Pelodiscus sinensis: one gene and its partners. The protein of the gene in region 2 purifies or fractionates together with the protein of the main gene of each other region. This does not show direct contact. Links are inferred from orthologs where the notes say so. Each region holds a gene or a part of one and is shown on either strand. Other genes may lie near its edges.

Region 1 (10,151 bases), on a different chromosome or scaffold from region 2:
CATTTTTACAGACACTCTGAACCAACTCTTTCTGATATTGTTTGTTCAAGAGTAATTCAGATTTTGGCAATTATTTATTTCATGTTCTTTTCTATGGAGTTAATGCAATTTAAAATATTTAAAAGTTTAATAGTAGGTCTCTCCATGTAATTTCTTGAGAATTATTTCAGTTTATCACTATAATATTATGGAGTTCCTGGGGTGCAGTAGCCCTTTGGTTATGGATAATGATAATTACACATTTCTTAAATGGTCCAACATAAAAGATGTCTCAGCAGTTGAACAATTGTTTCATAAAATCAATCATAGAACACTAAAACTGGAAGGGAACTCGAAAAGTCGTCGAGTCCAGTCCCCTGCCCCCACGGCAGGACCCAGTACCTTCTAGACCATCCTTGATAGATTTCTATTTAACCTGTTCTTAAATATCTTCAGAGATGGAGATTCCACTACCTCCCTAGGCAACTTATTCCAGTGTTTAACCACCATGACAGGAAGTTTTTCCTAATGTCCAACCTAACCCCCCCTCTCCCCCGCTGCAGTTTAAGTGCATTGCTTCTTGTCCTATCCTCAGAGGCCAAAGAGAACAATTTTTCTTCCTCCTCCTGGTGACACATTTTTAGATACCTGAAAACTGCTATCATGTCTCCTTTCAGTCTTCTCCTTTCCAAACTAAACAAGCCCAATTCTTTCAGACTTCCCTCATAGCTCATGTTATCTGGACCTTGAATCATTCTTGTTGCTCTTCTCTGGACCTTCTCCAATTTCTCCACATCTTTCTTGGAATGTGGTGCCCAGAACTGGACATGATACTTCCAACTGAGGCCTAATCAGTGTAGAGTAGAGCAGAAGAATGACTTCTCATGTCTTGCTCACAACACTCCTGTTAATGCAGCCCAGCGTCACACTGTTGGCTCATATTTAGCTTGTGGTCCACTATGACCCCTATATCCCTTTCTGCAGTACTTCTTCATAGACAATCGCTTCCTATTCTGTATGTGTGAAAAGGCTTGTTCCTTCCTAAGTAGAGTACTTTGCATTTGTCCTTATTAAACTTCATTTCTCCAGACCATTTCTCCAGATTGTCCAGATCATTTTGAATTATGGCCCTATCCTCCAAAGCAGTGGCAACTCCTCCCAGCTTGGTATCATCTACAAACTTAATAAGCGTACTCTGTATGATAACTGATGAAGATATCTAAATAACTGATGAAGATATTGAACAGAACCAGTCCCAAAACAGACTCCTGCAGAACCCCACTTGTTGTTCCCTTCCAGCATGATTGTCAACCGTTAATAACTACTCTCTGAGAATGATTATCCAGCCAGCCACCTTATAGTAGCCCTAAGGTGTAGTTGCCTAATTTATTGATAAGAAGATCATGCAAGATCATATCGAATGCCTTAGTAAAGTCTAGGTATACCACGTCTACTGCTTCTCCCTTATCCACAAGACTCGTTATCCTATCAAAGAAAACTATCAGATTGGTTTGGGAGTAATAACCATAAAGAGAAAAGCTTGTTGATTTTGCTGTTAGTAGTGTATTTGCTTTTGCTTGAAAATTGATAGCAGAAGAAAAGGAATTTACATTGTAACAAATGATTTACCTCTATGTTTTTAAGCACATGCTTACTTATAAGCACATGAATGGCCATATAAATGGTTAAAGTTACATTTATGTTTAAAAGCTTCAGAGGGATAGCCCAGTCTGTACAGGATAAACTTAAAAAACAACAAATAGAATGGTAGCACTTTAAAGACTAACGAAACATGTGGATGGTTTATGTTTAAGTAACTAATCACAGTTCTGAAATTATAAACAAACATAAACAGGCTCTTTTATTTAGAAACTAGACGATTTACCTAGCATTGCTTGGGTCCTTAATTCAATTATTTGTGCTTTTTGGAAAATAAAACGGAAATGTATATGCTCCATTTAAACCATTGCTCTGGGGTGGGGGTGGTGATGAGGCTGCCCCGGGGAGTGAAGACTACCCCCAGACTCCTCTCACAGAAGCAGCTTGGGGGCCAGGTGAGAAGTGCCTCTCCATGACTGCTGCAGCTCCAGTTGGCACAGCTGGGAGAGGGGTGCATGTCCTCCAGCTGGGGCAGGTCCAGATTCATCTGCCCCTGTGCTCCCCAGCCACAGTGAGGAATGCAGCACTTTCCCCTTACTCCCTGACAAAGGGGAACAGTTACTGCATCAAGCCTTGTGCCCCATTTGACTGTATTCACACCCTGTGAATAATAATTATTGCATAGAGTACTTACGTGTCTGGGAGGTGTAGCTGTTACTGTCCTGATTAAGACGGTATGTTCCTGCAAAGGTTTCAACTAGAGCAGAAGGATGGGCTTGTTACAACATGATCTTGATTGAGAAGACTGCAAACTTGCCTCACAACACAGAACTAGATTTTAACAAATTATGTCATGTATTAAACTGAGAAACAGCTGTGGATACACTGGGATAATTGGTAATATTTAGAATAATTCCCAGTTACATGACCTAGGATGGGCTAGCACAATTATTGGGACTGCTCAGTGTCTGAGTGCACCAAACCTTAGGGTACCAGTTGCATGCACACACACACTGCTATTCTGAGGCAAGTATTGTAGGTTCTTCAGCAACTAGACCTTATAGACATTACCCTAGTGAGTCCCCATAACCACTCAGACACATGGCTACGTGAAAAGGGCTGGCAGGAAAGCCGCAGTTTGCAAATACCCTAGCTACAGAGGCTTGAACAGTTACCATTCAAAATGAACAACAGTTTTTGGTTGGGTCACTGGGGCGGTCCACTTGAAGAAGTCAAGGCTCTTTAGCCCTGCTCCACTCCAGATTTCATTCAAGCAAATAGGAACTTCCAGGTTTGCAGGCAAGGTTCAGTTAATGCCTCTCATTGGGTCCCTCAGTACTGGCGCCCTAACCAGTTTCTGCTGCTCCCCCAGACCTGTACTCTACTCTCACATCTGGCAGTCACAACCTGTTTCACACACAACTCTGTCTTCATTTCCTGAGGACTGGTCTACACTAGGGCTTTGTCTATACTGCTGGCTTTGCTGGCTGTGCCTATGCAAATAAAGCGCAGATTAGCATATCTCCGTGCCTCATTTGCATAATTTGTTCAACCCTTTTTGTGCAAAGGGTTTTTGCACAAAAACAAGCAGTGTGGACAGGGTTTTTTTTTTGCAAAAACCCTGTTTTGAGCAAGATCCTTATGCCATTCTAGGAGAAGTATAAGAATCTTGCGCAAAAAGGGGTTTTGTGCAAAAAAGGCTTAAATAAATTATGCAAATGAAGCACGGTGATATGCTAATTCATGCTTCATTTGTATAGGCACTGCCGGCAAGTCAGCAATGTAGACGTAGCCTAGGAGTTTAGGTGGAATTTAGTTGCATAAGGAAATTTTCTAAACAATGAGTCCACACTGCCAAGCCCGTTTCTTCAACTTTAAGAGTTACTAAAGTCAATTTTGGTACTCCTGCTTTTCATGAAGAGTAATTCTAAATTCAACCTTGCATGGTCAACTTTACTGTAGTGTAGTCCCAGCATTGTAAAAGTAGATGTTCTTGGCCTCTTGGAGGCATCCCACTGTAATGGCTCTGGTCAGGGCTTGTGACTCTATCACTCTTCAGGTGAACAGAAAAATCCCTGGGAAACTCTGAATTTAATTTCCTGTGTGGACAGCATGGCAAGCAGATCTCAGAGCAGGCAGCATACTTGGGCATGAGTTCCATGAGTTCAAGTTTCATGAGCTTCAATTCTCATTTGTGCAGATGAGTACCAGCATGGAGCATGAAGGAGATCTTGGACTTCAGAGATGCATGGGGAGAGGAATCAATTCTCGTGAAGCTCTGAACCAGCATATGTAGCACAGATATCTATGCGAAGTATGCAACTCCATGGTGGAGAAAAGATACACCAGGGATGCCCAGCAGTGCTGTGTGAAAATAAAGAAGCTGAGCACAAGACAAAGGAGGAAAACGAATGGTCTGGGGCATCGCTGCAAACATGTCGCTTCTACAAGCAGCTGTATTTGACACTGGTGGAGACCCAATCAGCATCCCAAACCAGACCATGGAATCCTCCCAAGACACTCATCAGGGTAGCAGTGTGGAAGACAGCAAGGAGGAGAAGAATGGTCAGCAAGCAAGTGGGTAGTTGATGTGACCAAGAACCAAGAACTTTTTATAACCTTAGAGATAATCCCTTCCTCCCGGGACATCTCACAGTCAGGCACTGATGTAAAGGAGGACCTTTCCAATGAGTTCACATTTTTTATTTGCTACCAGCAGATTAAAGCAATTGGCTGTGCTCCGTGCCTACACAGTGGGGTGAACCTGGAACAGATTCTTAACATGTCCGGAGATGGAGTGGGAATCTCCCCTGCACAGCTCCAGAAAACTCTTGTACAGTTAAGTCTTTAATCCGTCTCACAAAGTTTCTGGGGAGGCCAGCCTTATTCCATACTTCATGGTAGGGCACGTTCCTATGCCACACAACCAGAAAGTGGTCCGGTGGCATTGCAGCACAAAGCATTGCAGCGTAAGAACTAGGTTGTTGACCGCATTTAGTCAGCATCAGCTCCTTATCTCTGTGTGTAATTCAGAGAAGACTGATATCTCACATGGCAACCTGGATGAAGGAGGAGAAGCTATTAGCTGCTGCTTTTGCTACTAACCTCCATTTGCCCATCCCCGGTGAAGCACGGCTGCAGCTCTTGAGGAGGCTTCGGCCCCTCCTCTAGTCCTCCCGCCTGCGGGCTCTTGCAGGAAGGCGAAAAATAATACTCTTCTGGCAAGCAGGTTGAGCCAGACAAAAAGGAGGGAATTGGCATGAACTGCTGCCCCGCCCCACTGCCATGAATGAACCCTGTTCTCCTTCCTGCCTTCAAGATGGTGCCCTGGTAGGCCCCTTATCATGCCTGCCACCAAACTGTGCGAGTTCAGATGCTCCAAGAATTCTTGTGTGCCTGCTGCACTGTTAAAGTCTTAGTCTTCACCACTTCCTCTGGCAAGGAGTTCCCCAGGTTGACTGTGAACTGCATGAAGAAAAACTTCCTTTTGTTTGTTTTAAACCTGCTGTTTATTAATTTAATTTGTCCAGAAGCCACATAACTTAAGGCTTCCGATCACAATTTCAGAGGAAAATTATTTTGAACTGATAGAAAACCACAGGGACTCTTCATGTGACACCAATGCCCAAGGTTTCATTTAGATGGCAGAGGCATAGCTGGGTGGATCTGTGATCTCTGAAAGCCATGGCTTAATGTCATTTTGTGATGCTAAAAACAATGACACAAAACAGAGCCCTGGGGTGTATTTTGAAAGGAGGGTGCCTGCTGGGGGAAGCCTTTGAGGGTCGACTCAGCTACAGAGAGGGTAGCCCTGATAGGCTCAGCGCCTTGTGAATGCTCCGCTAGCAGCACCTCCCTGTCGCTTGCTCCCCAACTCCCTGCCCCTGAAGGAAGGGCGCCCCCCGCTGCTGCTGCGACTTCCGATCATGCCCTCCACATGCCTCCCCCCGTCGGCCTCCTTCACCCAATGACTGCGTCTGCGCTACAGCGGCGCCCAAAGACAACTTGTGCGCCTGCGCAGGAGATTTTTGCATACGGCAGTGACCATGTTTTCATCTCCTCCCGCCCTACACAGTGAGCGCTTGCGCAATGCAGCTCTTCGGTTGCTGCCGCGGCGCTGTCCTCGATGCGCGCCTGCGTGGTGAATTTGAGGCGGGGAGGGGTAGGTGTTCTCTGCGGCGAGTGACGTCACCCCCTCTCTGCCTTGCTGTCGAGGCTGCTTCTGCCAGGGGAGGGCAGGGCCTGGACTCGCCGGCTGCAGGCGCCGCCATGGCTGCCATATTGGGGAGGAAGTGAGAACAGTAGGCGGCAGCGGCGGCCAGGCAGGAGCCCTTCCCCTCTGCCCTTTGCTCAGCGAGGCGCTGCTCTGCCGGCGGCGGCCGCTCGCAGGACCCCGGAGTGAGCGGCGCGGAGGCAGCGGCGGCCGGGCTAAGCGCCCCGGAGGCGGCGGCGTTGGCCTAAGATGGCGGACCCGGCGGAATGTAACATCAAAGTGATGTGTCGCTTCAGGCCCCTCAACGACTCCGAGCGGAACCGCGGCGACAAAGACATCACCAAGTTCCAGGGAGAGGACACCGTCATCATCGCGGTGAGCGCCGGGGCGGGCTGGGGAGGGGGCCGGATACCCTGGGGATGGGCGCGGTACGAAGGGGGAGGGCTCGGAGGAGGGGATGGGGAGCTGGAGGAGCTGAGGGGGCCAGACAAGGGGAGCAGCTTCGTGGGGGTGTGACAGGGCAGAAGAACGAGCAGGACAGGCGCAGGGGTTGGCCGGGCGGTGTGTATGAACTTATAAAACTGCCTCCTAAGCAAAACCTCCCTGCCTCACAGACCTCTTGTAGAGCTACTGACAGCGCTAGAAACTTTGGGCATGACTTTACGTGGTAGTTTTGAAGTGAGGTAAGACCATACGGTGAATGGGGACAGAAGAAAATGTTCAAAAGAACTAGACTTTTTTATGTAACCTAATTAAGGTTGGCAACTAAGGTAATGCCTAAGAGAGACATTACCAGAGTAACTTGCCCACTGAATAGTTTTGGCAAAATAAAATCTATTGAGTGTGTTTTGTGATCAGTCCACCAACCAGTGGGTTAGTGGCTAATACTTTGCCCAATAAAATAGTCAAATTATGCCTTTGTTTTTTTCACACACAATTATAATTTTAATTTAATAAAAATTGCTTACTGCAAAATAGAAGCTTGATGCAAAGAGATTTGGTTGGTATCCTGAAAAAGATAATTCCAGCAGTGCCAGTTTGTAATGCAGCTGCTGTAGAATGAGTTATTAACTTTATGGTTTAACTCTCTATTTCACTTATAGTAACTGTCTTCTGTGGTTTCATTGGTATTTGTTGATAAATGGGTTGCACAGAGAGAGATTTTTTTCATGTTTCACACATTCTTAATCTGCACATTCAGATGAATAATTTGCTACATGGAATCAGAATTCTGCATTTAGAGAGGAATATAACTTTAAAATATACTTTACTGATGTTTGTTTAGATTTCAGATTCTGCACACTATTATCTTTTTGAAGCAACCCAAATTAAACAGTTATTCATAGCAGCTTAACCTGGAACTGGAACAAATACATAACAGTAAATAAAACTTGTTAGAAAATTTCATATTTATAGTACAAGGCTTTAAAGTATTTCTTAAATTCAGTTTTAGGAAAAACTAATGCATTGCTAATGGAATATGCAACCTTTTGCTGTTTCTGATATAAATGCAGTTCAGGTTGGTAGTGAGTAGGCCACTGAAAAGTAAACAGAATGCTCCTGAAATGAGCTGTTGGCCCATTCAAGATCAGATTGGTGCTGCAGACCTCATTAATTCTCATTGTTTCACAGAAGCCTTGTTCATCATTTAGCTAGACTGTTAGCAAATGCAGAATATGACTAAGCTGATGTCACTATCAGAGTAAGTACACTAACTCTCATGCTTGGTCCAGAGCAGGGATGGTCAATAATTTTCGCTGGGGGGGGGCACTTAATGAATTTTGGTATGTGATCACAGGCCGGCTTCACCCCAAGGGTAGAGATTGGGGCAGAAGGGACAGAGCTCGGGACTACCTTTTCCCCAGAGTTGTCTGGGGCCAGAGACTTTAAATTAAAATCACTGCAAAGGGCTCACAGTTCCCAGCCCTGCTGTTACCACATTGCCTGACAGCTGCCCAGGCTTGCTGTGGCTATTTAAAGGGCTCACTGCTCCAGTCCCTGCTGGGGTAGCACTATAGCCGTGATCCATTTTAAATAGGATCCTGCCGCGTGAGCCTCTGCCTGGAAATTCGGTAGCACAGGCAGCAGAATATAAATAGAAAGCATCCACACACAGTCTGTGGGCTGGGTCAAAATGTTAGGTGGGCTCAATTGGCTCCGGGCCACATCTTGGCCAGCACTGGTTCTGAGTATCCATTCATACAAACACCATGTTGTCCCCTCTGAAATCAAAAGTTGTAAGGTCCGTTCCTGAGATGTATATAATTTTCTAGGTGATAAACTGTCTATTAATTCCCAATTCTCTAACCTTCTGGAAACTACCTTTTGGACCAAAGGGCATCATTGCTAATAGGGCAGGGGCTTGATATTCATGGGGAGGATTCATGGTTTAGATTTCATATAATAAAAGTGAGAAAATTTGAAGTGGACACTCGGAAACATTACCCATGTAGTGTAGGTAGCCGCCTTTTACAAACTGGGAAAAAAAGCTGATTGTTTTGTTCTTGACAACTTTTTACCGCCAAAGCAAAAGCTAGAATTTTTCCTGGGTAATGAAGAAAACATCACAATAGTGTGGGGTTTGCTTTTCTAGTAAGATTGCAAAATAACATCTGAGTTGGGCTAGCCACTCACTAAGTAAGTGTGAGGTGAATTAGTCATTCTCCTTAGGGACCAGGTGGGGACAGTTGACAGTTGGTAAGGAATTAACATGCATTGTAATTACTACTTTAATAACCTTATGCTTCTGCAATAGTGATGGCCCAATGTAAAACATTCAGTAGTCATAGGGATTTGATACCAGTGACAGTCTTTTAAGTCTTATCTCACTGTTAGTCCAACCACTGGGACTGGAAACAAATGCTCTTTACAGTGAATATGTTGGAATTCCCATCATTAAGCATTTTTGCTTTGCTCCTGAGATATGGCAAGATTCCAAAACATTCTCTGAGATAAAATTTAGTTTGAGAGTTCTTTTTGTTCAAGAACTCCTAATGCTAAGAGCTAGCATCACTAAATTTGATATGCAGCTGTAATGCTGAAAGGTGGAACTGAACCTGGGACATCTGGAGCTTACTGCATGAGCCATGACAGCTTGAGATAAAAGCCAGCTGGCTTTCAGCTAAGGCCATAGAACACCTCCATTTTTCTGTCTATAAGTGGCCTGAGTGTGCCACTACGTAGGACCATACACCACACTCAGAAGGTGTGTGGGTTACGCACCTCTTATCCTAACTTAAAACAAGGTCAGGGTTTGGTTGTGGCTGGAATCTGTTTTCCATCACATGGAAAGGGAGGGAACTGATAGTAGGGACAGTTATACTGCAGAGTGCCCACAGGGAAGTGGCCACACCAGGAAGAGAGTGACCAGCTGGGGCTTTCTCTCCCCCTCTCCCTCCCTCCCCTCCTCCTCCCCCAACAAGCTGGGGAAGAGCAGCCCAGCCCAGCCCTCCCCTCCCCTCCTGAGGAACCACTGGTGGGTGGGGGGGCAGCTTCCCCACATCCCAGGAGCCACCATCAGAGCAGTGCCATTTTTGCTACCACAGGAGTCTCTGGTAGGCCTCCTTCCTAGCCCTGGCCATAAGCCTCCTGGTCTGACTATCCCCGCCACCCTGAATCCTGCACCCCAAACCCTGAGACCTGATAATCCAGCCTCCGCCCTGAGCTCCCTGGTCTGAGCCTCACCCTGAATCTTGCTCCCCATCCTGCCCTGACCACCTCCCCCTCCTTCCCCTAAGCCCCCTGCTAGTTACCAAATACAATTTAAAACTAATACTTTTTGCACCTTTCATGGCCATTCAATTTCTATCTAAGGATGGGTCAGTCAGGATTTGCAGAATTCATGGATACCTAGTTGCCTGAAGACTTCACCTACTAGCCTCTTTGAAATAGTTTGTCAGCCACACCCCTGAAATAGCCTTCCTAAAGCCATTCTTCAATTAGCTCCATGCAGGGTATATCAATTTCATGCATTTGTTTTCTGGCTTCTCTTCACCATTCTAAATGGTGATAATTGCCTGCCAATCGTTGAACTAGGATTCTTCTTCACAGTGTTCACCTTAGAGAAGAAGCTAAATCCTCTCAATTGGCCTATAGTATTTACTACAAGTCCTCTGCAGGCCCATGCTCAAATATGGAGAAGATTGTCAATTATATACCTAGTAGCATTTTGAAGAGTTGCTCCTAATGTCAGGAGAAATGGTAAGACAGGGAATAAGTTAGGAGTCAGACTGGGAGCAAAGATGCTCTCAGCTACTCTTGTGTGGATTTGTCTGCCTCTCTAATTGTACATACTTATTCCTTGGCTTCCCATTCCTTTCTGGGGAAAGTAGCAATAACTTTCTCTTTTCCTGGGCATCTA
Region 2 (10,887 bases):
ACTCACTCACTCCCCCTCCCCCCACCAGTTTGGACCAGGTGTGACACTCTGAACAGCCAAGCCCAGCAGTTTAGTTTAGTGCATGAGAAGGCTTGTCTCTGGCACAGCTGTCTAGTGGCTCCAGCCTTGCCTGTGCCCCCACATCCTACAACCCCTCCTGTAGCCACCGGCCGGGTCACTAATGCTGTGCCAGGGCCCAGAGCCTGTGGGCACGGGGACCCGTTCCACCACAGTCTGCTCCCACCTGGAGCTAGTGGGCACTTGCTAGCATCTAGGGCCCTTGTCTCACAAGCGGTGGAGAGCCCTGGCAGGTGGTGATGCTGCTGCTGCTGTGCTAGCCTCTGATGGCAGCATGAAGTAGGAGGTGGGGGAGTGGGATTTGGAGAAGGGGGAGGGGAGTCTGTCTTGCCAGGCCTCAGGCAGGGGCATGCTGGGACCTCCAGCTGTGCATAGCCACCCCCTGGCCCCTCCTGTTTTTCTGTCCTAAAAGTTTGCCAAGACCTAACTGCTAATTCAGCAGGGCCCGGTTGTAGCAGTGCTCCACCACCTCTGCCACATCCCTGATGGAGCCAATGCCCCAGGACAGCAAAACCTAGTGCCACAGCAGCCAGCTCTGTCTCTGCAGGCTGGGCTTTCTCACCGCCCCCTTCCCCCATCCTATGCTCAGCTGCTCACACTTCCCTCCTCCCCCCCAAGTCAGGCAGCTGCTAAACAGTTGGGTTTTCCCACTCAGGTTCACTGGGAGCTCTGCCCTTGTCTCCCTGAGTGTCTGGCAGAGAGCCACAATCCATGCATGAATGGTCCAGGAACATGTCCCATAACTCCCATTGGTCACTGCTGAGTCCTGAGCTCAGTGATCCTGCCTTTGCCGAGCGTGAGGCCCACGCAGGCCATGAGCAGGGCACCCTAGGCCCCAGCTGAGTGCTACAATTATCAAGAGAAGGCAGTGACTGCCTCCCTCTCTTCCCTTTGCCCCCTGGAGTGCCACTGCCTCTGCCAATGGGCACCCCCACTCTGTCCTAAAGAGCCCACCGGCACCCAGCCCTCATGGCTCAGACAGGAGCAGGGCAATGAGAAGCCAGATGATCTCCTCCAGCCACCTGCTAGCAATAAAGCCAGTTGTCACTGGCAGCCAGGCAGAGCCCCACACACGCACCACCTGCCAGGCCACCTCCCATGAATTTCCTAGTGCCCTCCATGTTGGCCTGACTGGGTGAAAAGGAAAGTCATTGGGCTAGGATAGGTGGCACCCACAGGCCTGCCCAGCTTCCCCAGGAAGATGGTTATTTGCTGGCTGAGTGTGTCGTCGCTTTGCTTCCCCTGCCGTCACAGGGAGGCTGCAGAAGGGCCCCTGAGCCACGGCCACTGGCTGCCGCAGAAGTGCTGCAAGCAACAGAGTAAGTGTCCAAGGCAGTTCCTGCCTGTGCAGTGGGTCGCTCATCTGGTTGAGCCACTTCCTTGGAGGGTCTCAGGTAGCGAGCTCCAAACAACTGGTGCTTGGGGGCCAGAAGTCCTGAGTCAAATCGCCATGGCAGGCAGGTGCCCCACTGCAACACCCCCAGCAGCCCAGCTGTTCCCTGCAGACCTAGCCTGTCCCATCCATGCTCAGGCCTGCCCTAGGCCGGAATCTCTCACTTCTTGCAGTCTCCCAAGCACAAAGAGCTGCAGCCACCGCTAGCGCCACAGAGGAATCTTATGTTTGCTCAGCACTTTCTACCTTTGCATTTCAACGTGGCCTGTTCAGTCCTGGCTCTCCCCAGAGCTCCCTGGGCTCTGAGCCTTGCAGCTGCAGCAGGCTGGAGGTGGCACCTAGGCAAGGTCTGGGGGCTGGGCATGGATTGTCTCCCAAGCATGCACGCTAGGCACTCCAAAGCTCTGGTATCCCCTCAGACTGGGCCGGCTGCCCCAGGAGCATGAGGATGAAGGGAGCTGCCCAAGGCCCATGTGATCCCAACACACATTTCCATAGCCAGAGTCAGAACATTCTAGGCCACCCCAATCCCCATGGGAGCCTGTGGGGTCCCCATCTCTCTGTGCCCCCACAAATAACTCCCCACACCCCCCCAGCTGTGTGGTGCCCCAGGGAGCTCTGTATCTCTGCTGGAGCTGCACGAGCAGGACTCTGTTCCAGTACATGAGGGATGGAAGAGGCCTAGGCCTGCCCTCTGGGCACACAGGGCACTGTAAATAATCCCTGGTGTGTTTAAGTGCGTGCCTCTCCCATTTGGTTTGTGCACACTGTCCATGTTGGGATCATTGTCTGGGGTTGGGGAGAGACCCCTGTTGTATTTGACACATTTTATTGGGGGAGCTGTCCCCCCTTTTTTTGGAGTTTTTTCATTAAATAAACTGGTGTTATTTCTTAAAAGGTGTTTATTTAATCAGTTTGGGTCTGTTCAGTCAGATCCCTGCAGAGGCTCCCCAGGCCACGGTATAAGGAGTAAGGGGGGGTCAAAGCTGGAAGCCAGGACTCCAGGGTTCTCTTACAGCTTGAGCCCCATTAGCCCAAGTCAGCTAACACGCGCCAGATATGGGGCTACGTCTACATTGGTCCCTTTTCCGGAAGGGGCATGTTAATTTCAGCGATCGTAATAGGGAAATCCGCGGGGGATTTAAATATCTCCCGCGGCATTTAAATAAAAATGTCCGCCGCTTTTTTCCGGCTTTTAGAAAAGCCGGAAAAGAGCGTCTACACTGGCCCCGATCCTCCGGGAAAAGCGCCCTTTTCCGGAGGATCTTATTCCTACTTCAAAGGGCGCTTTTTCCGGAGGATCGGGGCCAGTGTAGATGCTCTTTTCCGGCTTTTCTAAAAGCCGGAAAAAAGCGGCGGACATTTTTATTTAAATGCCGCGGGAGATATTTAAATCCCCCGCGGATTTCCCTATTACGATCGCTGAAATTAACATGCCCCTTCCGGAAAAGGGGCCAATGTAGACGTAGCCTGGGTGTTTCACTGTGGCATAGACATACTCTGTGTGACATGGGCCATTGTGTCTCACCCTAATAGACATGTTCTCACAAGAGGCTCCTGGCCCTGCTGGGACAGGCAAGGAGGAAGCTGGAATGAAGAAGTCTCTTCTCTTGGGGTGCTAGAAGCCATGGATCTAAAGTGTGACCCCCTCTATGTGATGGATGCCAGGCACTTGGTTGCAGTTATTGTTCAAGCTGGGGGGGGCTGCAGTACCCCAAGCACCAGAGCCCCTGCCCCAGTTGGTGTGAAGGGCCTGGCCTTCCCCCACATCCACCCCATGGTATCATCCAAGCACCATCCTGCTGCTGGGTCCCATTACCAGCTCTTGCTCCTTCCCATTGTCTTAGGGCTGCTGCCATTTTTCAGCCACATGTGCTGGGTGCTATGTGATGAGGCTGCTGCTCTGAGGGAGGTGAGACTGACTGGGCCTCAGCTCCATGGCCTGGGGCGACTCAAGATAATCGTTCCAACTTGGCTGTGGTGGAGAATTGCAGCTGAGGGAAAGTGCTCCCCTCTGTGCCAAAGTGAGAGACTCCCCTCCAGCTGCAAGAGAGCCTGCCCCTCCCATCATACTGTGGCACCCACGCCCACCTACACCATGGTGGGCCATGTATGGCAAATGCCTTGGGAGCTGCTGCAGCCTGTTTTGTCCCAGCCCAGAGCAACATTAATCCCAGCCTGCCCCAGGGGCTGCCAGTTTGGGCCCTGCATCTTTGCTCATTCTACCATCACACTAGCCCCCTGCATGTGAATTAGGGGCTGTCAGAGAGACAAATGACTTGGGTGCTGGTAATGTAGTCATGGGGACAAACCATTGCTGTGGCAGTACAGGCCAGTGTAAGCCATGGGTATATAAACAGAGGAGCCAATAGGAACAAGGAGGGGATTTTACTGGGAATCTGGCATTGGTGACACCCATCCTGGAACAATGTGTCCAGTTCTGAGGGTCACACTTCAAAAAAGGATGTTGAACAATTGTAGAGAATATAGAAAAGAGCCACACAAATGACTTGCCTGGGGGAGCTGTCTGGTTGAGAGATGACTTGATTCAGGTATATAAACACTTTCCTGGGAGAAAATACTGGGCACAAAAGGGCTCTTTAACCTAGCAGAGAAAGGCAGAACAAGAACCGTTGGCTGGAAGCTGACTCCAAACATATGAGAAATAGGGAGCCAGGGGATTAACAGAGTGAGTGGTGGATTCTTAATCTCTCTACGCTGGCATGATCTTGCGCAAGAACTCTTCCAGAAGAGAGCGTCTACACTGGCATGTGCGTTTGTGCAAGAGATGTGCTTGTGCGCAAAAGCATCCATGCCAGTGTAGATACTCTCTTGCGCAAGAAAGCTCTGATGGCCATTTTAACCATGGGGCTTTCTTGTGCAAGAAATTCATGTTGCTTGTCTACACTGGCCTCTTGCACAAGAACAGTTGTGCAAGAGGGCTTATTTCTAAGCAGGAGCATCAGAGTTCTTGCACAAGAAGCACTGATTTCATACATTAGAACGTCAGTGTACTTGCGCAAGAACTCGCGGTCAGTGTAGACAGGCAGCAAGTTTTTGCACAAAAGCAGGCGCTTTTGCACAAGATCACGCCAATGTAGACACAGCCTTGATGTTTTACAAATCCAGACTACCCCTTTCTGGAAGATGCATTAGTCAAATACAAGTGAGTCCCTGGTTTGTGCTGTACATGAGGTCAGATTAGATGGTAACGTGTTCTCCATGACTAAGAAAAGAGGCAGCAGGGAGGAAGTCAAGAACTTGGTTTTAGCTGTGGAGAGTTAGAGAGTCACAAGGTGATGACAGAGACAGGCTAGGATTTCAGAGGAGACAGGGCAGGAGCAGAGGGGTAGATCCATGAGTCAGCAGCACAAAGATGACAATTGAATTTGTGTTTGCAGATGAGATTACCCAGAACAAAGGCAAAGAGGGCCAAGGGCAGAGCTCTGGGGAACACCCACAGCTAACTAGAGAGGTGGAGGTGAGGAGTCTCTTCTTAAGACACACAAGGAATGGTTAGAGTTAGGAGGGGAGCTGGGAGAAGACATTCATGGAACACAGAAGAGAACAAGATTTCAAGAAGAGGTACATGGCCAATGGTTTTGAAGGAGGCTGCTAGTTGAAGGACAATCTGGCAGGAATAATGGTTCTGCATTTTGGCTAAGAGGTCCGTAGAGACTTTGGGTGAGAGCAGTTTCATGGGAGTATGTGGGGTGGAATGGGATTGGAGAGGGTCTAGATCACTTGGGTACATCAACACAGTAGCATGTACCTTGAAATAAGCTATGCAGTTTGAGCTATGCAAATTGCGTAGCTTAATTTGAAATTTGGCGCTGCCTACACAACCCTAATTTTGAAATAAATCACTATTCTGGCATCTTCCTTCATCTTCATGCAATGAGGTTTACAGGAAGATGGAATAAGAAGCCCAATATTTCAAAAGCATTTTGAAATAACAGGCATGCTGTTAGACACACATTACGCTATTTCGGCTTAACAGACATACCCTTGCAGAGGAACTCTGCACAGTGAAACATGGCCAGGGACTGACTTGTGTGGGGGAGCTGTCTTCTGCCACCCCTGGAACATCTACTCAAATCTGGCTACATAATGAACCTTTGAAGAATCCCAGTTTGCACATGAAACTTCCTAGAAGCTTTCCAGCCCTATTCTGGGTGGATTCTGACCACACTGAGCATGATCCAAATGCGGGAGGGTTCAGGCCTCTCCTTATTGGAGGCTGCAGCGCTGGCAGTGAGAGCAAGGGACCTGCCTTTCTTGTGCTCTGAGTGACCCCCACACCCCAGTCTACCCAGGCATCACCCGGGAGGAAGCTGCTGATGCGAAGGAGCCAAGAGCTGGAGCAGGGCTGGGGTAGAGAGCAAGGAGGACACTGGCCCAGTGAGCTGGGCTGGAGGGAGTCTTGGGACTGGGCCAGCACGTTCTGGTTTCTGCTTCTGGAGCCAGCATGGAAGTCCCCGGGCAATGGGACGGGGGGGGGGGGGGGGGGGCTCTGTTGAGAAGCCGGAGAGCGGCCCGGGCTGGAGGAGAATGGTACCTGCACGATGGCCCGGGGCTGGGAGAGACAGGCCCGGGCGAGCCGAAGGGATGAGGCTGGTCTGCGCCCCCTGCAGCACCCCCAGCGCCCCGCACCGTTTGTCTGGAGTCTGAGCCGCGTCCCGCAGGCAGCACCCGGCGCGTTACCCGTGCGGCATCCCCGGGCTCCCCGCCGCGCCTGGAAGCCCCAGTGACGCGGGCATCGGCCCGTGCTCCAGGGCAGCCTCCCCGGCCTGAATCATCAGCCCCGCCCCGCCTCACGCTGCCGGGAGGGGCGGGGCTAGAATCCTTCGCACCCCTCGGCCCGGGGCGGCACCGCCCCTTTCACACCCTCTCCCAGGAACGTTCTGCGCCTCCCCTTTAAGGTGCGGCGTTTCTGCCCGCCGGATACAAAGTAGCCCCAGGCCGCTTCCCCTTTACGGTCGCTGGCGGGAGGGGGGGGAGGGGAAATCACGTGGTGTTACCGCAGGGGCTGCCGGGTAGCGATGGGGCGGGGCGGGATGGGGCCGGCGGCAGCAGCAGATCGGGACTGACACCGGGAGAAGGGAGAGAAGGGGGCGGGGCCTGCTGCAGGTAGGGGCGGGGCCACGGGCGGGAGGACTCAGGGGGAGGGGGGACTGTCAAGCGGGGGGCTGGGCCCGCCCCTCTTTGCCGAGCTGGGGGGCTTGTTGCAGGGCTGCGGGGGCCCGAGTCCGGCGGGGCCCTGGAAGGGCCCGGGGGGCGTGTTGCGGAGGTGGCTCATCTCGCGCGGCGGAGCGGGCTGGGGGATATGACAGCGGGGAGGGGGCTCTGACGTAGGCGGGGGGAAGGGGCTGCACATCTGGCCTGTCCCAGTGCTCTGAGCGGAGGTGGCCCGGTGTGGGGCATGTGTCTGGCGGGGCAGTGGGCATGGGGCCTGGCCCCGCCCCCGAGCTGGCTGGGGCGGAGGGGACCCAGAGGTTACCTGCGATCGGGGGGGGGGGGGTATGGTGCACATCTGGAATGGCCTCGGGGAGGGCACTGGGGCGGGTTCCCACGCAGCTGGCGCGGTCCCGGGCAATGCGGGGGGGTTACTGGGCCGGGGAGTGGGGGCTGGCCCAGAGGCCCCCCCGCACCATGGCTGCCCGGCCGGTGCCGATCCCGCCGCTCCGCTCGCTCGGGCTGCAGGGGAGGCGGAGCGAGCGGCGGGCCAGTGGCGCGGAGGGCGCATTGCGGACTTGGGCAGCCGGGCAGGTGAAGGACGGGACGGGGCGGGACCGGGGCAGCGAGGGGCGCACGGGGTGCGGTGGCTGGAGGGGCCGTGCCCGGGTGGGCGCACGGGGTGCGGCGGCTGGAGGGGCCGGGCCCGGGGCGCTGGGGTTTAAGGCTGGAGGGCAGGCTCAGGGCCGGGCGAGTCGGATTCGCAGGGGAAGCTCGTCCGGCCGGGGGGCTCCGGAGTGCGCTTGGCGCGGGGGTGGGGAGACATGGTGCGGTCTGGGAGGAAGATGCAGGATGCGTTGGGGCTGTTTCCCCGTGCATTGGAGGGGTTGGGAGAGATGCGGGATGCAGTGGACGGGGGAGCTGGAACAATTTGTACAGTGGGGGTCCTGAGAGCTGAACTGTAGACCCTCTGTATGATAGAAACAACTCCAGGCCTGGGGGTGCAGCAGCACCCCACCAACCCCTAGTTACAGCACCTGTAATGCTGGGGCAGTTTCAAGGTGCAGTGGGGGTCAGGGATGCAGGGTGGGCTAGGACTGTATCAAGGTGCAGTGGGGGTGAGGGGATGCAGGCTGTGCTGGGGCAGTTTCAAGGTACAGTGGGGGTCAGGGATGTGGGGTGCGCTGGGACTGTATCACGGTGCAGTGGGGGTCAGGTTTTGGGGTGCGCTGGGGCAGTTTCAAGGTGCAGTGGGGATCAGGAATGTGGGGTGCACTGGGACAGTTTCAAGGTGCAGTGGGGATCAGGAATGTGGGGTGCACTGGGGCAGTTTCAAGGTACAGTGGGGGTCGGGAATGTGGGGTGCGCTGGGACAGTTTCAAGGTACAGTGGGGGTCGGGAATGTGGGGTGCGCTGGGGCAGTTTCAAGGTACTGTGGGGGTCGGGAATGTGGGGTGTGCTGGGGCAGTTTCAAGGTGCAGTGGGGGTCGGGAATGTGGGGTGCGCTGGGGCAGTTTCAAGGTGCAGAGGAGGTCGGGGATGCGGGGTGCACTGGGGCAGTTTCAAGGTGCAGTGGGGGTCGGGGATGCGGGGTGCGCTGGGGCAGTTTCAAGGTACAGTGGGGGTCGGGAATGTGGGGTGCGCTGGGACAGTTTCAAGGTGCAGTGGTGATCGGGAATGTGGGGTGTGCTGGGGTAGTTTCAAGGTGCAGTGGGGATCGGGAATGTGGGGTGTGCTGGGGTAGTTTCAAGGTGCAGTGGGGATCGGGAATGTGGGGTGTGCTGGGGCAGTTTCAAGGTGCAGTGGGGGTCGGGAATGTGGGGTGCGCTGGGACAGTTTCAAGGTGCAGTGGGGGTCGGGAATGTGGGGTGCGCTGGGACAGTTTCAAGGTACAGTGGGGGTCGGGAAGGTGGGGTGTGCTGGGGCAGTTTCAAGGTGCAGTGGGGGTCGGGAATGTGGGGTGTGCTGGGGCAGTTTCAAGGTGCAGTGGGGATCGGGAATGTGGGGTGTGCTGGGGTAGTTTCAAGGTGCAGTGGGGATCAGGAATGTGGGGTGTGCTGGGGCAGTTTCAAGGTGCAGTGGGGATCAGGAATGTGGGGTGCGCTGGGGCAGTTTCAAGGTGCAGTGGGGATCAGGAATGTGGGGTGTGCTGGGGTAGTTTCAAGGTGCAGTGGGGATCAGGAATGTGGGGTGCGCTGGGGCAGTTTCAAGGTGCAGTGGGGATCAGGAATGTGGGGTGTGCTGGGGTAGTTTCAAGGTGCAGTGGGGATCAGGAATGTGGGGTGTGCTGGGGTAGTTTCAAGGTGCAGTGGGGATCAGGAATGTGGGGTGCGCTGGGGCAGTTTCAAAGTGCAGTGGGGATCAGGAATGTGGGGTGCGCTGGGGCAGTTTCAAGGTGCAGTGGGGATCAGGAATGTGGGGTGCGCTGGGGCAGTTTCAAGGTGCAGTGGGGATCAGGAATGTGGGGTGCGCTGGGGCAGTTTCAAGGTGCAGTGGGGATCAGGAATGTGGGGTGCGCTGGGGCAGTTTCAAGGTGCAGTGGGGATCAGGAATGTGGGGTGTGCTGGGGCAGTTTCAGGGTGCAGTGGGGATCAGGAATGTGGGGTGTTCTGGGGCAGTTTCAAGGTGCAGTGGGGATCAGGAATGTGGGGTGCGCTGGGGCAGTTTCAAGGTGCAGTGGGGATCAGGAATGTGGGGTGTTCTGGGGCAGTTTCAAGGTGCAGTGGGGATCAGGAATGTGGGGTGTGCTGGGGCAGTTTCAAGGTGCAGTGGGGATCAGGAATGTGGGGTGTGCTGGGGCAGTTTCAAGGTGCAGTGGGGATCAGGAATGTGGGGTGTGCTGGGGCAGTTTCAGGGTGCAGTGGGGATCAGGAATGTGGGGTGCGCTGGGGCAGTTTCAAGGTGCAGTGGGGATCAGGAATGTGGGGTGCGCTGGGGCAGTTTCAAGGTGCAGTGGGGATCAGGAATGTGGGGTGTGCTGGGGCAGTTTCAAGGTGCAGAGGGGAAAAGGAGGTGGGGCAGCAGAGAACAATCTCTGTGTGGACGATTGGGAGTCCTACCACCCCGCCCCAGCGCTGTGCAGGGAGCCGCTGGCTGAGTAACTCCTGAGGCCTGGACCGCATTGCGTCGCTAGGGTTTGAGCTGTCGGCCCCCCTGGTGGGGGAAGCTGGAATAACATCCTGGGAATCAGAGGTCATTTGAGAGAAATGAGGGAGCCCGTGTGCCCCTAGATTGCCTTGTGCTCCCCTTTCCCCTACTTCCCCTACTCGTCTCACCAGCCAAGTGAGGCCCGAGATGAAAGGGACATGGGGCAGCATCAAGGATTGATGTCTGCTGGTTACATTTGAGGGTGCAGGGGAGTCACAAGGCGGGTTCGAGTCCAGCTTTAGGAGGGCAGTGAGTTGTAGTGGTTTGAGAGAGTTGGGAGCCAGCACTTCTGGGTCCCATTCTGAGGGGTGGCTGTGCTGAGACCCTGACTGTGTATTGTGAGGTGGGGGGAGGGTATCTGGTTGTGCCGGGTTCCTGTCTTATAGCCCACTCCCCACCACTGCAGGAGCCCAGCCATGGCGACCATGGTGTACCCGCGAGAGGAGAAGCTGAGCCAGGATGAGATCGTGCTGGGCACGAAGGCTGTGATCCAAGGGCTGGAAACGCTGCGCAGTGAGCACCACTCCATTCTGGCCACCCTGCTGGACCCCAGGAACTGCCTGGACAAGCAGCATGAGCCCAGCACTGTGCAGGAGAAGTCCAGCCTGCTGCGCAAGTCACTGGAGGCCATCGAGCTGGGGCTGGGGGAGGCCCAGGTAAGGCCTGGCTTCCCTCCCCAGCTCAGGGATGTGATTGGTTCCAGTTGTAAGCAAGAGCCAGGACACCTGGGTTCTATTCCCAGCTCTGGGACAGGAGTGGGACCTTGTGGGTTAGAGCCGGAGTGAGGCTTTGAACCAGGATTCCCAGGTTCAGCTCCTAAATCTGTCATTGGGAACGTGACCCTGGAGACAAGTCCAATTTCTCTCTGAAAAGGAACAGTGACTCCCCGCCCAGGGGCAGCTCTGTCCAGTGTATATATAGTGTTAGGGCTGTTGGAGGGTGGGGAGGGCAGGAGTTCCTGTGAGGGAGAGGGAGGCTGGTGTTAGGGCGAGGGGTGGGGAGGCTGGGGAATACAGGGAGGCAGTGGCTGGCAGGGGGTCGGGAGGTCACGGGACAGTGAGGGCCAGGGCCAGTGGGAGAGCGGTGGCTGTGGG
Region 3 (10,367 bases), on a different chromosome or scaffold from region 2:
AAACTCCTGCAGGCTACAGTAAAATGAGAAACACTTCATAAATTTATCAGAAACATACTTTGGTAAGTTTAGGCATCTTAAACATGTATTTTAGTACGGTATTCTCTGATTATATTTGCATTTGATATCATTTGCTTAAAATTTGTATTAGAACAATAAAGCGCATCCCACTCAACTGAAATCACTATGTTGCACAACTGTTTATTATTGGAGTGAATATCCCTGCAAAAAAAAGTTACTCATCTTTGTAAATGTTGTTCTTTGAGATGTGTTGCTCATATCTATTACAATTAGGTGTGTGCACGCCGTGTGAACATCTGTCAGAAAGTTTTTCCCTGGCTGATACCTATCGAGTTGGTTGTGGAGCCATCTGGAGTGGCACACAGCAAGGCACCCTGCTGACTGAATCACCCCTCGGTTCCTTCTTGCTGGCTACTCCGTCAGAGGGGAAGACGGGTGGCTCTAGACTAGATATGAGTGACACATCTCAAAGAATAACAGTTACAAAGGTGAGTAACTATTTTTAATTCTTTGAGCACTTTCTCATATTGGTTCCAATTTGGTGATTCACAAGCCTTACCAAGGGGGATGGATCAGAGTCAACGAGTTGCTAATTCAAGCACTGCAATGCCAAATGCCACATTTTGCCTGGATTGATGTGCGATGGGAAGGTATGAATTGAGGACTATGTCACAGCTCTACAGAGGACCTGTAGTGGAAGGCCACCAAAGAGGCTTGTGCATGGGTGGAGTACACCGTGACACGAGGCAAGGAGACCTTGGCCAGGTCATAACACACTCGGGTGCAAGCTGTGATCCAGGAGAACATATGCTAGGACAACACTGGCAGGCCCTTCATGAAGTCAGTCACTGCCGTGAACAGTTGAGAAGACTTCTGAAACTCATAGAAGCAATCCTATTGATATCCAAGTGGGACTACGTGCTTTGCTAGGGCAGGGCTGGCAGCAGCAAGAGCGTGGGCCCATAATAGCTGCACCTGGAGCTACAAAGGCTCTCGGCAGGCAAGACTCGACATCATCCCAGAGAAATCTGTTCAAGGGGGAGAATGATGTTCATAATAACCATGGACAATAAAAGAAAGCTTAACACAAATTGAAACTGACCTATTACTAAGCTTGGCCCAGCTTGCAGAACAATCTTTTGCCCTGATTCTGTAAGCTGGTCGAAGCGTGTGGCCTCAGCAGGCTTTCACCAGTGAACTTTTTTTTATCAAGGTGGCTGCAGTTATTTGCCTGCAGAGAGCCACTGCTGCTCTGCCTTTCTGATGATGGCCTAGGCCTTGACTCTGAAAACTGTTGGGCATGTGCTTGGATAGTCTCGTGACACGCATATTTGTGTGAGATAATCTATTTGGATAAATCCTGGTCCCCCTACAGAGTCTAACTAAATGGAGCTGTGCATGGACACGGAGAGTGGGGGCTGGGAATGGAGAGAGGAGATTTACCAAGCTGGAGCTCGCTGCAGCAAGTGACAGAAAGGAGACTGGACTTCTTATGGAACGGTGAGATAGGACCAGCTCTCTAGTACCAAGATTAGACCTTTGTCCTTCTGGATTGAACATAAGCAGAGCCATCCTTTCCCATATGCAGAATATGCAGCTACGTAGGTCAGGTTCTTAGGGTGTGTCTGTGTTCTGTGGCTTTCCTTCCACCAGAGCAGATCTAGTTAACTTAAACATGGAAAAGCCTGACAGACCTATTAGCAGACACTGAAACTGTGAAAGAGACATTCAGGTGATAATGAAGCCATTTAATCAGCAATTGCCAACCCCATGTATCTATTGTTAGTTTCTGGATTTACTGTGTTAGTCTACGGGACCTTATTTTTCAAGCAAATTTTAAACAATTTCATTAGCATGTTGCTGAAGATTATAAAATCACATCTCTCTAAAAAATTGTCAAACAGTCCCCCCCAGTTGGCCATAAGGGCATCAGTTTAATAGTACTGGGTAGGGCTCCATAAAACTTAAGGACGGCCCTGAACATAAATATGAGCACCCTCTTACATATCTCACAAAAGAGAAAGAACAGGATCTTACCCATGCTTCAGGATAGGGCTCTGTCTAATGCTCCTAAAGGTCTTTGCAGTTCATCAGAGAATATAGCAGGCTTCATGTTCTAGAGCAATGTAGAGCACTATATTAGTTCTGCAAGGGTAAATATTGAGCCTGATTCTATTTACCTAATTATTGTTCCTAATAGGAATATGGGAGAAAATAATGTTGTTGAGAATATATTCAAGTAAGACTGAACAAGGACTGGCTGTTTTGTGACAATACTATATAAAAGTAAGAGGGAAGCTTTATAGTACAAAGTTTGCAGAAGAATGTGTCGTCTTATGGGGTGGGAACTACAGTCTTCCTAATGAGAAACTAAAAGCTGGTGCTGTTTGCTTGAAAATGGTCCCTTAATGAAAAAAAATGGGAATAAAAATTAGTCTGAACAGCCTTTAACAAGACTCCTCACCCACTGGTCATGATTTGTAAATATGCAGTATGAAGCTAGTGAAAAGCTTGAAGAATAGGGGCAGGCACATTAATTAATTAATTAATAATCAGTAGGAACTAATCACACTATACAGTAATAGTCTACCACCTGCTGCACTCTGTAAACTACCTTTGATCTAGTTGCTTTTTTTTTTTCAGAAGTGTATGGGAGCCCACACTAAATTGCCTGCTGAGTTGATGTCCTCGTGCCATAGTGAGGTTACAGAGACGTGAAGATGAATCTTGAAGGAAATGCAAAAGAGTTGAACACACTCTGCCTCCCTGTTTGTGTGACTCAGCCTCACATTAATGAAAGCTGGTAGGAATTCTGTTTGAAGAAAACTGACCACAGAGGTTAAGAGTCAGCAGGTAGGCTTAGGTAACAGCTCCTACTTGCCAGTGAACAACGATTCGTGCTTACATCATTCAGCAGCCATGATGAACTCTTTTGAGCAGTCTGAGCATAAGACATTTGCTTAGCTTGTGATTATTGTAAAGCTTGTTTGCTTTTCTGAGACTGAAGGTAGCAGAGCCTGAAATGCCACCCTTTGTAACCATACACATTTCCTGTCAAGCAGAGATTCATTTACCTCTTGCCTGATTGCCTAAGCATGTTTTCCTGTCAGGTATTGTTTAAGCAGCAACTGATGAGACTTATCAGGCTTCTCTCAGTTAGGTACCCAAGCATCCAACATTAGCACAGATATTTCATTTAAGCCTCCCACCATCTTAGTCTTTCTTAGGGATTAATTTTGGCCTTATAAAAGTGTGTGAAGTTCTTATTGAAATCCAGAATTGTGAGCACTTATGTGAGGGCAGATTTGACTTCTATGCTTTCAGGCTTTTTGTGTTAGTATTTCACTTTTTTTTTTAAACTCTGTGACAAATTTCACATACTGGTGATGGAGATCTCAAGGCTATGTGCATGTATGTTAATGGATACCATGTGATGAAAAGAGTGTTAGGAGTTTCCTAGTTTTTTGTTTTGTTTTAGATTCTTCATCACACAAACACACACAGATTCTTTATAAAGAAATCAGCATGGTAAACATTCTGGGATTAAATTTCTGCTGAACGTTTTTGAAACATATGTATTTTGCTTTTTGTTGACATTAATACGCTCTATTTGCACTGACAGAATAGTTGCAATATATTTGTTGTGGGCACTCCCAGCTGTATACTGGATGGCTTAGTCTTGTGTAGAATATATAGTGGCAAACTATTGGAATGGCAGAGAGACTTCCTTCCTCCTATGCAACTTCTTGAGTGTTTTCCCCAGTCATATCTTTGTCCTCTTCAATGCTATCCCTTATACTTGAAATTCTGTTCCAAAATCTTCGTTACATATAAAGGACTTCTAACACATTCGACTACCACCCTTTGTGCATTTTGTACTTGAATGTACTTACCTCTAATTAACTTCCAAGATGCTTTAGACTAGAGACCAAGATGTCTGTGTTGGTACAGAAGTTAACATACTTATGGGACTCATCAAACTACTACAGTTGATTGGTAAACTGGTAAATTGGTATTCAGCTTGGGGGAAGGGGCTCTAGGGTGGGACTAGGGTTTCAGGACTGGGACAGAAGATTGGAGTGCAAGTGCTCTGGCTGGGATTTAGGCTCTGGAGTGAGGCTGGGAAGTTTGAATGGCAGGAGGGAGCTTCAGGTTTGGGGAGAGGAGTTGGAGAGAGTATAGTACAGACTCTGTGCTGGGGCCAGAGATAAGGTGCTCATGGCTGGGAAGGGCTCAAGGTGGGGTAAGAGGCTGGGCTTTCCTGAAGATTCCCTGCTGGGGATGGTGAAGAGGGGCTAGGAGCTGCCAGGAGCCTTTTCTCTCCCCCTGCCCCAGCCACCAGGGACCTTTTCCTCTCTCCTCCCCCTTCAGTCTTGTGGCAGGCAAGAGGGTGGAGTCCCAGCCAAGTTTGCCCCACTCTTGGTGGTGTAGCTGACCCCAGGCGTCTATTTGCAGTATAGCTCTTCCCTCTGGCCTCGCTGTTGCCAGTGGCCACTGTCAGAATCACACCTCTCCTCTCTATCCTCTTCCCTTTCCATGTTATGGAAACCATTCCCAGCATTTTCTGTTTCCTTGGCACAACCAAACCCTGACCATACTGTAAGTTTGGTATGCAGCATCCTCATATCCTAACCTCTTAATGTTCTACCTCTTAATGGTCCTACCTCTTAATGTTCAGGAGGAGTTCTTGAAGAAACAGACTCAGAGGCCGACAGATGCCCATTTCTAAAATATTTAGCTAGATATGCAAAGAGTGAACACACACTTCCCAGTCAGTCTTATTTTATAATAAAATCACAACAAACCAAGAAGGAATAAAAATAAAGCATGCGAAAGTACAGAGTGTGTGTGCCTCTCACCTGCATTTAAAACTGCAGTTCACAGACCAAGTCATAATATTAATAAGCCCCATGTACACGACATCCCTACTTTATGTCTTCCTGGTATAGATCTGTTTCACACTAAAGTCATTGACGCATGTAGGAACAGATGCATTAGAAATCCTCCTATTCCCTGCTCTTAAGTCACGCGCAAAAAACCAAAAAACCCCAACCCTCCTCCCCCCAAAAAACCCCGATTTGTGCAAATGGAAGTCAGGGTGGGGGGAAAAATTCCCTGCTTTAAGTTGTTTTGCTATAAGTCCAAGTTTTTTGGGACATATTTTGGACTTACAGTGAGGATGCCCTGTACCATCTGGCCCATTCCCCTTTTTTTCCTGTCTCATTTTTATTTAAGTATAACTAGGGTTTCTGATTTTAGGATTTAATTAGCAAAAACAGGAAAACTATTATTAAACACACACACACACACACACTTTTTTTTAGAGCTTTGAAAATCTTTAGGAGGTAGGGAGAGGAGTTATGAAAAATAATTCTGAGCACTCAATCCTTGTTTAGAGGGTATAATGTTAATGCAATTAAGTAAAAAGGTTATGATTGGAAATTCAAGACCCAGAATAAAAATAGAGCGGGCTTAAAATGGAGAAAGTATGTGCATCCTTATGCACCACTTTTGGGGAAGGGGGAGAGAGAGAGAGAGCGCGCAAGAGCTGTGATATTTTGAAACAATTCACCCTGATCTAAAGACCCACTGATTTCCTCCGAGCGGGGGGAGCTGTAATCGGTTTACAAATCTGCGCCTCCCGCCCCACCCCGGCTCCCGGCGTTTAGTCAGGGCCTCCAAACACAGCGGGGCACGGCTTGTTCCTTTCCCGGGCCGTGCCGGGCCGCGCCCGCACCTGTGCGCGGCGGCGAGGACTACATCTCCCGGCATGCTCGGCTAGCGGCTGTCCCCGGGAGCCCGAGCTGGGGAGGGGTTGATGTAATGCGGCGAAGCCACCAACCCTCTGGGGGAGGCGAGGGGCGGCGGGCGCTGCCGGGGCAAAGGCAGCGGCGCTTTGTGTTTGCTGCTGCTACAGCCGCGCCGCGCCGCACGGGGGGCAGCCCCGCCCCAGCCGCGGCTCCGCCGGTGGATGCTCGGCGCGGGACGCTGGCCGCGGCGCTCCCTGGCTCCCCGCGCCCGCGGAAGGGGGAAGAGGCTGCGGGCCCGGCCCGGCGCAGAGCTGGAGGCGCTAGGCAGGCTGCTCGCCGCTCGCCGCCCAGCCCCCCGCCGCGATGGCGGACCCCGCCGAGTGCAGCATCAAGGTGATGTGCCGGTTCCGGCCCCTCAACGAGGCGGAGATTCTCCGCGGGGACAAATTCATCCCCAAGTTCAAAGGCGAGGAGACGGTGGTGATCGGGGTAAGTCTGGGGGGGGGGGCGGTACTGAGTACCCGCTGCGGTACCGAGCATCCTGCGGCCGCGGCTCTGCAGCCCTGGCACCAAGCCCCGGTCCTCCCCTGCGCGGCACCCCCGGCCGGTCCCTGCCGCCTCCCTTTGTTCCCGCTCCGGGCCGGGGGCTGGGTGCAGGGGAACCCGCTTCCCCCAGGCGGGAGCAGGGGCGCTTCGAGGGCATCTCTTCCCCCCCCCCCCGCGTCCTTCCTTTGGCTGGGGGCTTATTGTTCCCCTCCCGGCCCAGCACCGCTCCCAGGTGGGTGGGTGGGTGGGGGGGGCGAAGTTCCTCGCAGGGGGAGGGGGCGGGTGGCACTAGCCTGCTCCGCACACCGCGGCACGAGGCCCGTTACCTGCCCGGGGCTAGGGCGGGCGGCAGTGGGCGCTCACTCTGCTGCGCTCCCTTGTGGGTACCTGGGGGGGGGGGGGGGGACAGGAATCGAGCAGAGTCGGCTCGACTCCCACTTGGGCTGCAGCCTCCCAGCCCCCAGCCTGGATGAAGCTGATGTCATCCCGCTCACTGGGCATGCTCGGCTCTCCCTGGCTCGGGTGGGACCGCGTGATTGGCAGGTGACAAACAATTTAGGGGAGAAGTTGCAGCGCTCGGGGCGCTCCCGGGTTGTGCTCCGCCTCGGCCTCTCCCCGGCGCGCGGGGTGCCAAGCCGCCTGGCGGCAGGTGGACGGGGAGAGATGTGCGGGCGCCGTGTGCGCTGCGCCCCTTAGCCCCTCGCTGTCACCTAGCAGGAGAGCGCGTTGCGGCAGCTCTTTCGCGGCAAAGTTTCTTCCCTCGAATGGATTGCAGAGCCTTGGCTACGGGTCTGCGTGCGCCCGGCGCTCCGTGCGCTTTGTGGGGCGCGGGGTCGAGGCGAGGTCGGCGATAGTTCTGTCGCATCCGGTTGGCATTGTCTGCCTTCCAGCCAAGGGAGGCGCGGGAACAAAATACAGTTTTGCAGTGTGTAGTTGCTGAATCTGCCTTGTGCTTAAAGCCATCAGTGCTTCTGTGCCATGCGTTGTTGATAGCTGCACACTAGGAAAGATGCTTTTGGAACATAGTTACAGATTCCAGTAGAACAAATAGTTGAGACCGATTGTCTGGGAGCTCAGTGTAGTAAAAATCACTTTGTGCGGGTAAGTTGGTGGTAGTTTGATAGAATGGATTGAAACCAGTCTGGGATGAAATGTTCATCCTAATATAACTAGGTCTACCTGTGGTGCTTCTTTCTACCACAAAGCCTAAAATATATATATTTAAGCATCCATTCGCTAATCTGGATCCCAGTGATAACTGATTTCTGAACATGATAATATTCTTGTTCCTCAAGCATATCACACTGGGAAGTAACTTTTATAAAGGCCAAAGGTTCTGTAACCACTCAGTAGAACAGGGCTACTCAAGATGCAGCCTGTGGCCTGCTTTTTGTGGCCCATAGCACGGTGCGGGTTCAACATGCAGCCCGCCGATGGTAGCTAAAACAAAAAAATAGTCAATATAATGGTCTTCTGTTGATATACATTTTAGTAGTTAAATTCCTGGACTGTCATTGCTCATTAAAAGTGCTGTCATGTGGGTGGAAATAGGTAAATATTGCATTTTATTAATATCAGCAGAACCGACTTAAATGGGGCCCCTATATTGTGTAGTCTTGCCTTTAATCTTTGTATTCATGTCCATCAGTGTGAAAGAAGCAATTTGCATATATATGCAACCACACTTAAGTTGCGTCCCTTGGCATGTGCTGTGAGTATCATTGTGATCCCCAGGGCTTCCAAAGTTGGGTAGCCCGGCACTAGAACATATCAAACAGGACCACTAAAAAGATATGTGGTTATCTGGCTCCTTGTAGATTCTGGGAGTCGGGACCCAACTCTCCCACAAATTATTTGCTTATCCTGGCTGTTGTTTGTCTGGGGCATGCTTGCAGTGAGTTCTTGGAGCTGAAGGTTTCCAATGGAGGTTCCTTACTTTGGAATGGGCGCCTTTTGTCAGTCTGCTAGCATGTGGCTTTGGTGATATTCAGTGCATCAAGTCGGCAGGGGAGAGGAACCTTTTTTGGATTGGGGGGGGCCACTGAACCACAGAAAAATCAGTTGGGGGACAAGTGAGAAGGCAAAATCCAAATCCTCACTGAGAGAGACACTCCCCACGTTCTCCTTGCACACCAGAGCATAGGAGGAGTGCAGGCTACTAGATTTTGTGTGCTCTAGCTCTGTGGGGAAGCAGCGGGGGATCTGGAGCATCAGCGAGCCTCAGAGGCCGGATCCAGGCAAGCAAGGGTTGGCATCTGGCTCCTGGGCCTTAGGTTCTCCATCCCGATGTAGGCCATTTCTGTTTGAGCTTGTATTGGTTATTGTCTGGCTTGTTAGATTTTCCCTGCCCACCACCCTCCCCCCCATTCTTTGTTTTCTGTTTTGGCCTGCAGTGATCACAGCCCTTATTTATGCTACTCATTATAAGGTTTATTTTTATAACCAAATACTTAGATAAGTGCTCAAGATCAATAAATGATAAGCCATATAAATGTCTACCTGGTTATTAACAAGATTCTTATTTCAACTGCTTACAGCTGTCAGAATTTATTGGAAGGACAAGCACTTTTTCATGAGATCTGCTAAATGATTAATGAAAAACTGAAATGTTTTGAGAGAAACATTATAGCAATGTCTATTTCTCTTTTTTTAATTATTGAGGGCATTGCATCAAAACAGGATATTTGCTTTCTGAGCAGATAAACTCTCATTCCTTGTGTTGTGTTGTAATCATAATAATCTCCACCACAATTAGTCTGTCAAGCAGAGGATTATGACTTCAGGTCACGATGAATGTTTAGAATGAAGAAGAAATAACTGGCAGATGAAACCTTATGAAAGAAAGAGCTTCTTCCATGCAAATGTTGGTGATCTTAAAACACACACACACACACACACACACACACACACACACACACACACACACACACACAATATGAAAACAAAGGTAGAATTATTTAAAAAAAATTAAAATCTATTTGACTAAATCAGTTCACAGATAAGTTGAATGTAAAGTCAGTTTTTTTTTTTAATGAAAGTGAAATCGTGTCCAAATTGTAATTCTGGGTATAGCACATCTCTGTAGTCCTTTGGGAAACATTGCATTCAGTTTAAGATGATTCAGCTGAAGAAAGTGCTCAGAGCATTAGCTGCACTCTCCAAAGACAAAAAGGAAAAAACAGGTATTTTCTAGTTCTTATGCACTGGATGTCATAGTCTCTAATTCATTACATGTAAAAATTGTTTGTTTTTTTCCCCCATCATGTATAGCTTTTGGTTTGGCAGGAAAAATCTTCAGCACCTTTTCTTTATCATCTTTGAAAGCTTTTCTTATCCAGGATCTTCTTCCTTTCTCCTTCTTGTGACATAAGCACGGACTGGGAAGAAGATCCAGTGATATCCAATAAGGTTTAATTTTCTTGGTTGTAAGTCAGTTGCATTAAACAGACAAAAAACTGTATCTCCTGATTGGGATTCATTACCATGATAACTGTGAGAAATCAGCTAGTTCTATGGCTTGAGATGGACTGCATGTATGTATAGTTTTTTAATTATAAACATGCATAAGAATACTTTCACACTTCAGACATTGACCTTAATGGGCACTACTGTAATACACCATTAATAGAAGGTATAACTAAAAACGAGGAGTCCTGTGTCACCTTGGACTAACAAAATTATTTGGGCAAGCATTTGATGAAGTGGATTCCAGCCCCCAATAGCTTATGTCCAAACATATTTGTTATGCCACAACACTCTTCATTGTTTTTGCTGAAACAAACTAACCCAGCTATCTTCTCTGAAACTCCTCGGGATATATTATTAATCTTCATTATTTAGTATGTCAGATTTAATGCACAGATCCAATAATTAGCAATACTTACTGAAAAATACTGTTTTTTGATAGAAAATGTTATTAGCATACTGCTTATTCTAGAAGAGCACTGATTTTCTTTAACACTTATAAAGTTATTAAGATGGAACTGCAAAGCTAAACGAAATAAATCAACCACAATTTAAAGATGTCTTTTTTGTTGCTTTTTAAAGGCC

The links.
Region 1: the proteins of KLC2 (region 2) and KIF5B fractionate together in Homo sapiens (co-fractionation; 7 studies listed by BioGRID and IntAct, with this or other methods). This does not show direct contact. The link is inferred for Pelodiscus sinensis from reciprocal best matches to the Homo sapiens genes KLC2 and KIF5B.
Region 3: the proteins of KLC2 (region 2) and KIF5C purify together in Homo sapiens (affinity purification with western blotting; 3 studies listed by BioGRID and IntAct, with this or other methods). This does not show direct contact. The link is inferred for Pelodiscus sinensis from reciprocal best matches to the Homo sapiens genes KLC2 and KIF5C.

Annotation. Positions count from the first base shown.
Region 1 is NC_134712.1:229,672,223-229,682,373, reverse strand, and holds the start of KIF5B (kinesin-1 heavy chain), read left to right. Parts: upstream 1-5,821; 5' UTR 5,822-6,040; coding exon 6,041-6,166; intron 6,167-6,317; exon of another isoform or gene 6,318-6,474; intron 6,475-10,151. UniProt on the Homo sapiens protein: Microtubule-dependent motor required for normal distribution of mitochondria and lysosomes. Can induce formation of neurite-like membrane protrusions in non-neuronal cells in a ZFYVE27-dependent manner.
Region 2 is NC_134721.1:32,085,777-32,096,663, reverse strand, and holds the start of KLC2 (kinesin light chain 2), read left to right. Parts: upstream 1-6,471; 5' UTR 6,472-6,601; intron 6,602-6,634; exon of another isoform or gene 6,635-6,761; intron 6,762-6,941; exon of another isoform or gene 6,942-6,966; intron 6,967-7,032; exon of another isoform or gene 7,033-7,240; intron 7,241-10,199; 5' UTR 10,200-10,209; coding exon 10,210-10,449; intron 10,450-10,887. UniProt on the Homo sapiens protein: Kinesin is a microtubule-associated force-producing protein that plays a role in organelle transport. The light chain functions in coupling of cargo to the heavy chain or in the modulation of its ATPase activity.
Region 3 is NC_134717.1:26,170,626-26,180,992, forward strand, and holds the start of KIF5C (kinesin heavy chain), read left to right. Parts: upstream 1-6,037; 5' UTR 6,038-6,134; coding exon 6,135-6,260; intron 6,261-10,367. UniProt on the Homo sapiens protein: Microtubule-associated force-producing protein that may play a role in organelle transport. Has ATPase activity. Involved in synaptic transmission. Mediates dendritic trafficking of mRNAs.